3 linked regions of the Saccharomyces cerevisiae S288C genome follow. The protein of the gene in region 1 purifies or fractionates together with the protein of each later gene. This does not show direct contact. Each region holds a gene or a part of one and is shown in the gene's direction. Other genes may lie near its edges.

Region 1 (3,424 bases):
CAACCACTTTATATCTTTAAACATGAAATTCTCTACCATCTTACCTATACTTTGGGCAAATTGCTGTCTTTGTATGATCATCCCTGATTTCGACGGGATAGTTCGTTTTATTGAGAATATTGATGGTACTCGCAGTGTAAGAGCAGGAGAAGGTTTGGGACAGCATGATCCTGGAAATTTTCACACTGAACATCAACATGTCGCTCATAAAACAGAGTTTCTTCCTTATCGGTATGTCATAGTCTTTAATGAAGATATTTCCCTCCAGCAGATTCAATCGCATATGCAAGTGGTACAGAAGGATCATAGTACCTCAGTAGGTAAGCTTACAGAAAATGACGCTTTTTGGAGGGTAATTTCTTCTTCAGTATCATCTAAATCTCAATTTGGAGGTATTGATAATTTTTTTGACATAAATGGTCTATTTCGAGGTTATACTGGCTATTTCACTGATGAAATCATTAAAATAATCTCCCAGGACCCAATCATAAAGTTCGTAGAGCAAGAAACTACAGTAAAAATATCTAATTCGTCATTGCAGGAAGAAGCGCCTTGGGGTTTACATAGAGTTTCGCACAGGGAGAAACCAAAATATGGACAAGATTTGGAATATTTATATGAAGATGCCGCCGGAAAAGGTGTCACATCATATGTACTCGACACAGGAATTGATACCGAGCACGAGGACTTTGAAGGGCGTGCTGAGTGGGGAGCCGTTATACCAGCAAACGATGAAGCTTCTGATTTGAATGGTCATGGAACTCACTGTGCGGGGATTATCGGATCGAAGCACTTTGGTGTAGCCAAAAATACAAAAATAGTAGCTGTCAAAGTTCTTCGTTCTAATGGGGAAGGGACGGTTTCAGATGTTATTAAAGGTATAGAGTATGTTACTAAGGAGCATATAGAATCGTCGAAGAAAAAGAATAAAGAATTCAAAGGATCGACTGCCAATCTTTCTTTGGGAAGTAGCAAATCGCTAGCTATGGAAATGGCTGTAAATGCAGCTGTAGATAGCGGTGTCCATTTTGCTATTGCGGCAGGAAATGAGGATGAAGATGCTTGTCTCAGTTCACCAGCAGGAGCTGAAAAAAGTATTACGGTCGGTGCTTCGACATTTAGTGATGATAGAGCATTCTTTTCGAACTGGGGCACATGTGTTGATGTGTTTGCTCCCGGTATAAATATTATGTCCACCTATATTGGTTCAAGGAATGCAACTTTAAGTTTATCAGGTACTTCCATGGCGTCCCCGCACGTTGCTGGTATTTTAAGTTACTTTTTATCATTACAGCCTGCACCAGACAGTGAATTTTTCAACGACGCTCCCTCACCTCAAGAATTGAAAGAAAAAGTCCTAAAATTTAGTACACAGGGAGTACTGGGTGATATCGGTGATGATACTCCTAACAAATTAATATATAATGGGGGAGGTAAGAAATTGGATGGTTTTTGGTAGCTTTGATTTTGAATTTAGGAGCACCCAGGAGATTTTATTTTATTCTTTTCATACAGGTCAGCATAAGCCTAAGAAAGACGTTTGAAATCGCTAATCGGCTTTTTGTTCCTACGAGTAGGTTAAATTCTTTCAATAATATACATAATAAATTAGTAGTAAAGATAAACTTTTGTTCGCGATGCAGTTCTTTTGGTTGTGAATAGTTTTTTTACGAATTTATACTAGTCACTGCTAGATAAGGGTTAAGGAGGTAAATAAAATACGACAACCACTTTAAATAGGTTTCAAAACTATCCTTCAACAGATAAAAGGGTTTACCGTCAGAATCATTGAAATCTTTTAAAGGGTGTGAAACTATTTTTATCTTCCTCTGTCACCGTCCAAAGCAACCGAGCAATGCAGTGTTTTTCCTTTTAAAAACTACCTCAGATCATAGGTACAAGTTACAACTGAATGTCTACAATTGTGATCTCGGCTCGATAATGTATTCTATGTATGAGAGGCATCTTCTTGTTTTGATTATTTCTATCATTTACTAAGGAAAAAAAAAAAAATATACATGCGGTGCGATGCGATGATCTTCGGGAAGAAAAATTTTCAAGATGTCAATTAAACAATAGTATAATTATCGTGATGAGCAAGAAGGGAAGCAATCCAATAATAAAAACCAACTATTGTAAGCGCTCCCGATATACCTAACATGCGTCAAAAGAGGGCTAAGTCATATAGGAAACAACTTCTTGTTTACAGTCACACATTTAAGTTCCGTGAGCCATATCAAGTTTTGGTTGATAATCAGCTTGTTTTAGAATGTAATAATTCTAATTTTAATCTACCGAGTGGGTTGAAAAGAACGTTGCAAGCAGACGTAAAGGTCATGATCACACAGTGTTGCATACAAGCGTTATATGAAACTAGAAATGATGGTGCAATTAATTTAGCGAAACAATTTGAGAGACGTCGTTGTAACCACTCTTTTAAAGATCCAAAGTCACCTGCGGAGTGCATCGAAAGCGTCGTTAATATTAGCGGTGCAAATAAACACAGGTATGTGGTTGCTTCTCAGGACATAGATTTGAGGAGGAAGCTGAGGACGGTTCCGGGTGTTCCATTAATCCATTTAACCAGGTCTGTTATGGTTATGGAACCTCTCAGTACGGCGAGTGCCAAGGCAAGCAAGATTACTGAAGAACAAAAATTGTATAAGGGTCTCAATGATCCTAATATTGAAAAACTTCAAGAAAGTGGTGATGGATCAGGAAAGGAATCTATCACTAAGAAAAGAAAGCTTGGTCCAAAGGCTCCTAATCCTTTGAGCGTAAAGAAGAAGAAGAAAGTCAACTCGCCCAGCGATGAGGTGAAAGACAAAGAAGATACTTCTAAAGAAAAGAAAAAAAGAAGAAGAAGGAAACACAAAAGCAACACTAACGTCCCCGTTTCAAATGGGACCACAGCCGCGCAGTAAATTTTTTCCTTAAGTTAATTGACTGGCCAATCTTTTGAATATAATTGCGCATCTTCCACTCTTATTGATAAACGTTACGGAAGTATTTAATGTACATATGTAGGATAGTATTAAATAAACTTCAAAAAATTAAGCCTCCGCAAAACGCACCATCAGTAGTTGACTACGGGGAAGTCTTCTTCAGGCACTTGACAGTTTTCATTAATAGAATGATCCACCCATTCAGGGGCAACGACCCTGGCTATTTTCGGTATAGTATCAGAAGCCTTTATTTGTTCTTTTATTTTTTCGTGTACCTCATTCATGCAGTCTTTCCTCAAAATAGGATCAGTATATGGTATAATTATTAAGTTACAAAGTGACTGTTGATCTGTTATTTTTCCACCAAACAACTTAATTTTCATTTCTATAATGTCATCTTCTGTGCTAATTTTGCGACGTGGTACGTATGCAATCCTGTTGGAGAATAAAAATAATGGAAACCGCCGAACCTCAGAATC
Region 2 (3,759 bases), on another chromosome or scaffold:
TACAGTTTATTCTTGGAAATTGAAATCTGAAGAACAGTTGTGGTTGTCTACTGCTGCTAAATTGGATGGTAGCAAACCTGTGAGAGGTGGTATACCTTTGGTCTTTCCTGTATTCGGGAAAAATAGCACCGATGAACATTTGAGTAAATTACCTCAACATGGTCTTGCAAGAAATTCTACTTGGGAGTTTTTGGGTCAAACTAAGGAAAACCCACCGACCGTACAATTTGGCTTGAAACCAGAAATTGCTAACCCAGAATTGACCAAATTGTGGCCAATGGATTATCTTTTGATTTTGACTGTTGAATTAGGCTCCGATTATTTGAAAACTGCCATAGAAGTAGAAAACACATCTAGTTCCAAGGAATTAAAGTTCAACTGGTTGTTCCATACATACTTCCGTATCGAAGATATTGAAGGAACAATGGTCTCTAATTTAGCTGGCATGAAACTTTATGACCAACTGTTGAAGGAATCCTACGTCGACAAGCACCCAGTCGTTACCTTCAATCAAGAAACCGATGTAATTTATCAGAATGTCAGCGCCGAACGGGCCATTCAAATAGTTGACAAGGGCGTTCAAATTCACACTCTAAAAAGATACAACTTGCCCGACACTGTTGTTTGGAATCCATGGATTGAGAAGTCTCAAGGGATGGCCGATTTCGAACCAAAAACTGGTTACCAACAAATGATATGTATTGAACCTGGTCATGTTCATGATTTTATTTCCTTGGCTCCTGGTAAAAAATGGAATGCTTATCAATTACTTTGCAAAGAAGAATTGAAATATCAAGCTATTCAATAAATAATATAAAAAAATGTAGCAACGGTAATTTTTATAAAGTAAATTCCCAGTTGTATACTTTTCTTAATGTGGGCTATTTGATTACCTCCATCCTTTATCTTTGTTTTTGTTGACGAACAACTAAAGCAACATTCTGTTTACTAAGACTCTTATTTAATTCCAAGTGCAGCAAGAACAAATTGCCAAAAGCGTATTGTTAAACTTGTTCTGGCAGCATATTATCGTAAAATTAAGTAACGTTTTTAAAAATGACACTGAATTCTACTTTGTGATGATCAAACAACACCCACCTGGTCTGATAAAAAAATCTCCGCGACGGGGAATTGAACCCCGATCTGGCACGCGACAAGCGCCCATTCTGACCATTAAACTATCACGGACAAATTTCTGAAGTTTTGTACTTTTACCAGTCCATCTAATACCATATATTTTGATAATAATTATGTCTTTGACAGTAACTTATCATCAGGACTGTTGGAATAAAAATCAAAAATCAACTATCGTCTATCAACTAGTAGTCACACTACCAGTATATTATGATATACGGTGTTAGATGATGGCATAAGGTATGAGAAGCTGTCATCGAAGTTAGAGGATGCTGAAATGCAAGGATTGATAATGTAATAGGATAATGAAACATGTAAAACAGAGTGAAGAATAATCGTAATACTATTATGTAGAAATATGGATTCCATTTGAGGGTTCCTATATCCTCGAGGAGAACTTTTAGTATATTTTGTGTACTATTATTATAGCTGTTAAGTATAATTGGATCCTAACAATTCTCATTATTTGTCAAATTCTCATCATCTATATATTAGACGCCGCATATAGGAAACAGCGATCAAACTTTAACGAAGCGAACATACAATATTCCTGATGTAATAATACCAATCAGCGAACTGTACGAAACAAATAGAAGAACGTTATATTATATGGGATTTTACACTTTTTTGGTGGTATCATATATGCTTGAAAAGATCCTGCAGCATTTCTATATACCTGATAATATTGGTTTTATTAGAAATGGGGTCACAATCATCCGAACTATCGTAACTTTAGAAATAATCCGTCTTTCTTAAATAGTACTCTAGTACACAGTAATGGTATTTGTTTTTACTAGTATTTCTTGACATCTTTTTCTAACCTCTCTTCTAATATACTTGCAATCTTCTGATAATTATGCTTTTCATCCCGATAAAGAGAAACAATGAGGACCATTCAGCCAAAAAAAAAAAAAGCAAGTTAAGCTACTAAGAAAGATCGACACCAAGTGAAGATTAAGTGTAATAGCCTGCTTATTCAAAAATTGAGGTTTGTTGACATGAATAAATTCTGTCTACTACCTTTCCATGGCAAGAGGATAGGCGTGGCCAATATTCCTTTTACCATATTATTCAAAAAGGGCCCTTATTTTCTTCATAGTCACATCACAGCAGTTTATTACTCGACAAAGGGCAAAAATGACAGTCATGAACAAAGTCGTGTATCCAAAAAGTCTACTTTTACCCCTCTGGAAACACCTTGGTACCTCAGGATTGTTGACAATGAAAAGGAACTAATGGAAGGTAAGAAAAATAACCACCACACGATGAACAAAGAATTGGAGATACCTAAAACCTCTCCAAACTCATTAAGAAAAATAGCAGACCTCCTAACTGGTAAACTTGGTCTGGATGACTTCCTGGTTTTCGATTTACGGAAGAAAAGCCCAAACTCTGTTTCAGCCGTTAATAAGTTGGGTGACTTCATGGTCATATGTACAGCAAGATCTACCAAACATTGTCATAAAAGTTTCTTAGAGTTGAACAAGTTTTTGAAGCACGAATTCTGTAGTAGTGCATACGTTGAAGGAAACTTTAATGAGCGACAAGAAAGTAGAAGAAAAAGAAGATTAGCAAGAAAATCCAACCTTAGTAAACTATTAGGTAGAAGCTCTGAATGCTCTGCAAAAGACTTAAATAGTGAGGCTTGGTATATGATTGATTGTCGTGTCGATGGTATTTTTGTAAATATTTTGACACAGAGAAGGCGTAATGAATTGAATTTAGAAGAGCTGTATGCACCTGAAAATGAGAAATCTAAGTTCCAAAATATAGATTCAGGTAATGTCCCTACTATTTCAGGGGTAAATGAAATTTCAAGCAACAATAATATTCTTTTAGGCCTAAGAAGACTGGCCCAGCAAAGGAGAAGGTATTCAACTATCAACCCAAACGGGCTAAGTAATTTAAGATACTTTCTACAAAAGGAAGACTTCAAAGGAGCCAATAAGATAATTCAGAGTAGTAGTGGTACTGAAACTCACAATATACGTACTTTGGAGCATGTTAAAAATACTTTAAAGGATTTGGTAGGACAAGAGAGGAAAGTAGATGTTGTTCAATGGAAGTCCTTATTTGACGAACATTCAACTTTTTTAACCATAAATCAATCGGCTGCATATTGGCCACTACGACTAGAATATGCGATACTTCTAAACAAAGCAGACCCACAATTTTATTCAGATCGTGTTTTCCTCAAGGATTATCTACTTTTAAAAAAATCGTTGGGGCAAGAGTTAATAAGGGAAGATCTAATCGCTCTTTTAGAAATGGTTTTGAAAACGCAGCATTCTAGTCATTCATACTTTAACCTAGTAAAGCAAAATAGGGTGATTATCAGAGCTTTGAACCTATTTAAAGGTCTACAAACAGAGGACGATGGCTCAGTTGTTTACGATGAAGTGGTAATATCCCTTCTTTTAAATTCCATGGTCGCGGATGAACGGGTAAAATTGAGATCACTCTACGAGACAATAGACCACATTTTCCAAACATTTGGAGATAAGTTGACTTCAGGCATGATTGTCTCAATATTGCAAAACTTGGCCAAAATCAAAGACTGGAATAAGCTACTTCAAGTCTGGGAAGCTATCACACCAACGGAAGGGGAAGGTCAGGACAAAAGGC
Region 3 (3,759 bases), on another chromosome or scaffold:
TTGAACCTCAAGGGCAATAAAATCATCAATTAACCATGTCACTTAGATTGCCACAAAATCCCAACGCGGGATTGTTTAAACAAGGCTACAATAGTTACTCTAACGCCGATGGCCAAATTATTAAATCAATTGCGGCCATTCGCGAATTACATCAAATGTGTTTGACTTCTATGGGACCCTGTGGTAGAAACAAGATCATTGTTAACCATCTCGGTAAAATCATTATTACCAACGACGCGGCCACCATGCTAAGAGAACTAGATATTGTCCATCCTGCAGTGAAAGTCCTCGTAATGGCGACTGAACAACAGAAGATCGACATGGGAGACGGTACAAATTTAGTCATGATTTTGGCTGGCGAACTATTAAATGTGTCCGAAAAACTGATTTCAATGGGCTTGTCTGCCGTTGAGATTATTCAAGGTTATAATATGGCAAGGAAGTTTACTTTGAAAGAACTAGACGAAATGGTTGTTGGTGAAATTACTGACAAGAATGATAAAAACGAACTTTTGAAAATGATTAAACCAGTCATCTCCTCCAAAAAGTACGGATCTGAAGACATATTGAGTGAACTTGTTTCTGAAGCTGTATCTCACGTTTTACCAGTTGCTCAGCAAGCTGGAGAAATTCCTTATTTTAATGTTGATTCTATCAGAGTAGTAAAGATTATGGGTGGATCGCTTTCCAATTCTACCGTCATCAAAGGTATGGTTTTCAATCGTGAGCCTGAAGGCCATGTAAAATCATTATCCGAAGATAAAAAGCATAAAGTTGCAGTTTTCACTTGTCCGCTTGACATAGCCAATACTGAAACGAAAGGCACTGTTTTATTACATAATGCACAAGAAATGCTCGATTTTTCTAAGGGCGAGGAAAAGCAAATAGATGCCATGATGAAAGAGATTGCCGACATGGGCGTAGAATGCATTGTTGCAGGTGCTGGTGTTGGTGAATTGGCGTTACATTATTTGAATAGATACGGTATACTAGTCTTGAAGGTACCAAGCAAATTCGAATTAAGAAGATTATGTCGCGTTTGTGGGGCCACTCCATTGCCTAGATTAGGTGCGCCAACTCCAGAAGAATTAGGTTTAGTGGAAACTGTTAAGACAATGGAGATAGGTGGTGATAGAGTAACTGTGTTCAAACAAGAGCAAGGTGAAATTTCAAGAACATCTACTATCATTTTAAGAGGTGCCACACAGAATAATTTGGATGATATTGAAAGAGCCATTGATGATGGTGTTGCAGCCGTCAAGGGACTAATGAAGCCATCAGGCGGTAAGTTGTTGCCTGGTGCTGGTGCTACCGAAATTGAATTGATTTCTAGGATAACTAAGTATGGTGAACGAACACCTGGATTGCTACAGTTAGCTATAAAACAGTTTGCCGTGGCTTTTGAAGTGGTTCCTCGTACCCTAGCGGAGACCGCTGGTCTTGATGTTAATGAGGTACTACCAAACTTATACGCTGCACATAACGTAACTGAACCTGGTGCAGTTAAGACAGATCATTTATATAAAGGTGTGGATATTGATGGCGAATCTGATGAAGGTGTAAAGGACATCAGAGAGGAAAATATTTATGACATGCTTGCAACGAAAAAGTTTGCTATTAACGTCGCTACAGAAGCTGCAACTACTGTGCTTTCCATTGACCAAATTATCATGGCAAAGAAGGCGGGTGGTCCAAGAGCACCTCAAGGCCCAAGGCCAGGTAACTGGGACCAAGAAGACTGATTTGTTTGCATCTTTATACTTACAAAGTAGATATACCTGCAAACAGCAGAATATAATGTCATAAATTGCAATCAAGTTTTCAAACTTGCTAGGCTGTATCATGTGTACCTGTATAGTAGTAAAGATATATATAATGTTTGAATTTTTGATAATGCAGATGTACTGTATACATTAACCAAGAAGCAACCTGCAAAACCGACGAACTCTTGGCCTGTATATTTGTTCGATGATTGTAATACTTTTTTTTTTTTCAATTTTTTTTCGGTTAGCGAGAATTTTCATGCTCATCTACAATATAATGAAGAAAATTATATTAGATGAGCTGCGATCTGTTACAACTAGTATACTGTGAACGACGCTGAAACCTTCACGGAAAAACCACATTATTGTTATTATGGGAAAGACTAAAACAAGAGGCAGAAGACACCAAGACAAACAGAGAAAGGACGAATTTGAACCCAGTTCAAATTCTGCGAAGGAGCACATCCAGCAAGAAGAGTCTACTTACAATGACGAAGCCGAAATTAAAGAGACTCAGCCACAAATGTTTTTTGGTGTGCTAGATAGAGAAGAACTGGAGTATTTCAAGCAAGCCGAATCGACTTTGCAATTAGACGCCTTCGAAGCACCTGAGGAAAAGTTTCAATTCGTCACGAGCATTATTGAGGAAGCAAAAGGTAAAGAACTGAAATTGGTTACTTCCCAAATAACTTCGAAATTGATGGAACGAGTTATTCTTGAATGTGATGAGACTCAGTTAAAAGACATTTTCCAATCTTTCAATGGCGTTTTCTTCGGGTTGTCATGTCATAAATATGCTTCCCATGTTTTAGAGACTTTATTTGTTAGAAGTGCCGCCTTGGTAGAAAGAGAACTTTTAACACCAAGTTTTGATAACAATGAAAAAGAAGGGCCTTATGTGACTATGGAAAATATGTTTCTCTTTATGTTGAATGAACTGAAACCGCACTTGAAAACTATGATGAACCATCAGTATGCATCACATGTTTTGAGATTGCTAATATTAATTTTGTCTTCCAAGACATTGCCTAATTCAACTAAAGCGAACTCTACTTTACGTTCCAAAAAGTCAAAAATTGCAAGAAAAATGATTGACATTAAAGATAATGACGATTTCAATAAAGTTTACCAAACACCGGAATCTTTCAAATCTGAACTTCGTGACATAATAACTACTTTATACAAAGGATTTACTAATGGTGCCGAGTCGCGTTCTGATATTTCGCAATCTACTATCACCAAATTTAGAGAGTACAGTGTGGATAAAGTGGCTTCCCCTGTAATTCAGCTCATTATTCAAGTCGAAGGTATTTTTGACAGGGACCGTTCATTTTGGAGATTGGTCTTCAATACAGCAGATGAGAAGGATCCTAAGGAGGAATCATTCCTGGAATATTTACTGTCAGATCCTGTCGGTTCTCATTTCTTAGAAAATGTGATTGGCTCTGCCAGGCTAAAATATGTTGAAAGACTTTATCGTTTATATATGAAAGACCGTATTGTGAAACTAGCAAAAAGGGATACTACAGGTGCCTTTGTAGTGCGTGCATTGCTGGAACATTTGAAGGAGAAGGACGTAAAACAGATATTGGATGCAGTAGTTCCTGAATTAAGCATGCTTTTAAACTCAAATATGGATTTTGGTACTGCTATTATCAACGCAAGCAATAAACAAGGTGGTTACTTAAGGGATGATGTCATTGCTCAATTAATACAAAAATATTATCCAGAAAAGTCTGATGCAAAGAATATTTTGGAAAGTTGCCTGTTGTTGAGTGCATCGACTTTGGGCAATACCAGAGATGACTGGCCAACAGCAGAAGAAAGAAGACGATCAGTTTTCTTGGAACAATTAATTGACTACGACGACAAGTTTTTGAATATTACCATTGACAGCATGTTGGCTCTGCCTGAGGAAAGGTTGATACAAATGTGTTACCATGGAGTATTTTCGCATGTTGTTGAGCACGTACTACAAACTACTAGGGTGGACATA

The links.
Region 2: the proteins of UTP23 (region 1) and ATP25 purify together in Saccharomyces cerevisiae (affinity purification with mass spectrometry, with the first as the bait; one large-scale study listed by BioGRID). This does not show direct contact.
Region 3: the proteins of UTP23 (region 1) and NOP9 purify together in Saccharomyces cerevisiae (affinity purification with mass spectrometry, with the first as the bait; one large-scale study listed by BioGRID). This does not show direct contact.

The regions. Positions count from the first base shown.
Region 1 is NC_001147.6:331,433-334,856, forward strand, and holds UTP23 (rRNA-binding ribosome biosynthesis protein UTP23), read left to right. Parts: upstream 1-2,159; coding exon 2,160-2,924; downstream 2,925-3,424. Other genes in the region: putative subtilisin-like protease YSP3, read left to right, coding at 23-1,459; DNA ligase (ATP) DNL4, read right to left, coding at 3,077-3,424. UniProt on the Saccharomyces cerevisiae protein: Involved in rRNA-processing and ribosome biogenesis.
Region 2 is NC_001145.3:460,983-464,741, reverse strand, and holds the start of ATP25 (Atp25p), read left to right. Parts: upstream 1-2,132; coding exon 2,133-3,759. Other genes in the region: YMR099C (glucose-6-phosphate 1-epimerase), read left to right, coding at 1-808. UniProt on the Saccharomyces cerevisiae protein: mRNA stabilization factor specific for the 0.95 kb OLI1 mRNA. Also involved in OLI1 ring formation.
Region 3 is NC_001142.9:417,940-421,698, reverse strand, and holds the start of NOP9 (RNA-binding RNA processing protein NOP9), read left to right. Parts: upstream 1-2,136; coding exon 2,137-3,759. Other genes in the region: chaperonin-containing T-complex subunit CCT8, read left to right, coding at 36-1,742. UniProt on the Saccharomyces cerevisiae protein: RNA-binding nucleolar protein required for pre-rRNA processing. Component of the 90S pre-ribosome involved in production of 18S rRNA and assembly of small ribosomal subunit. Component of the pre-40S ribosome required for release from the nucleolus.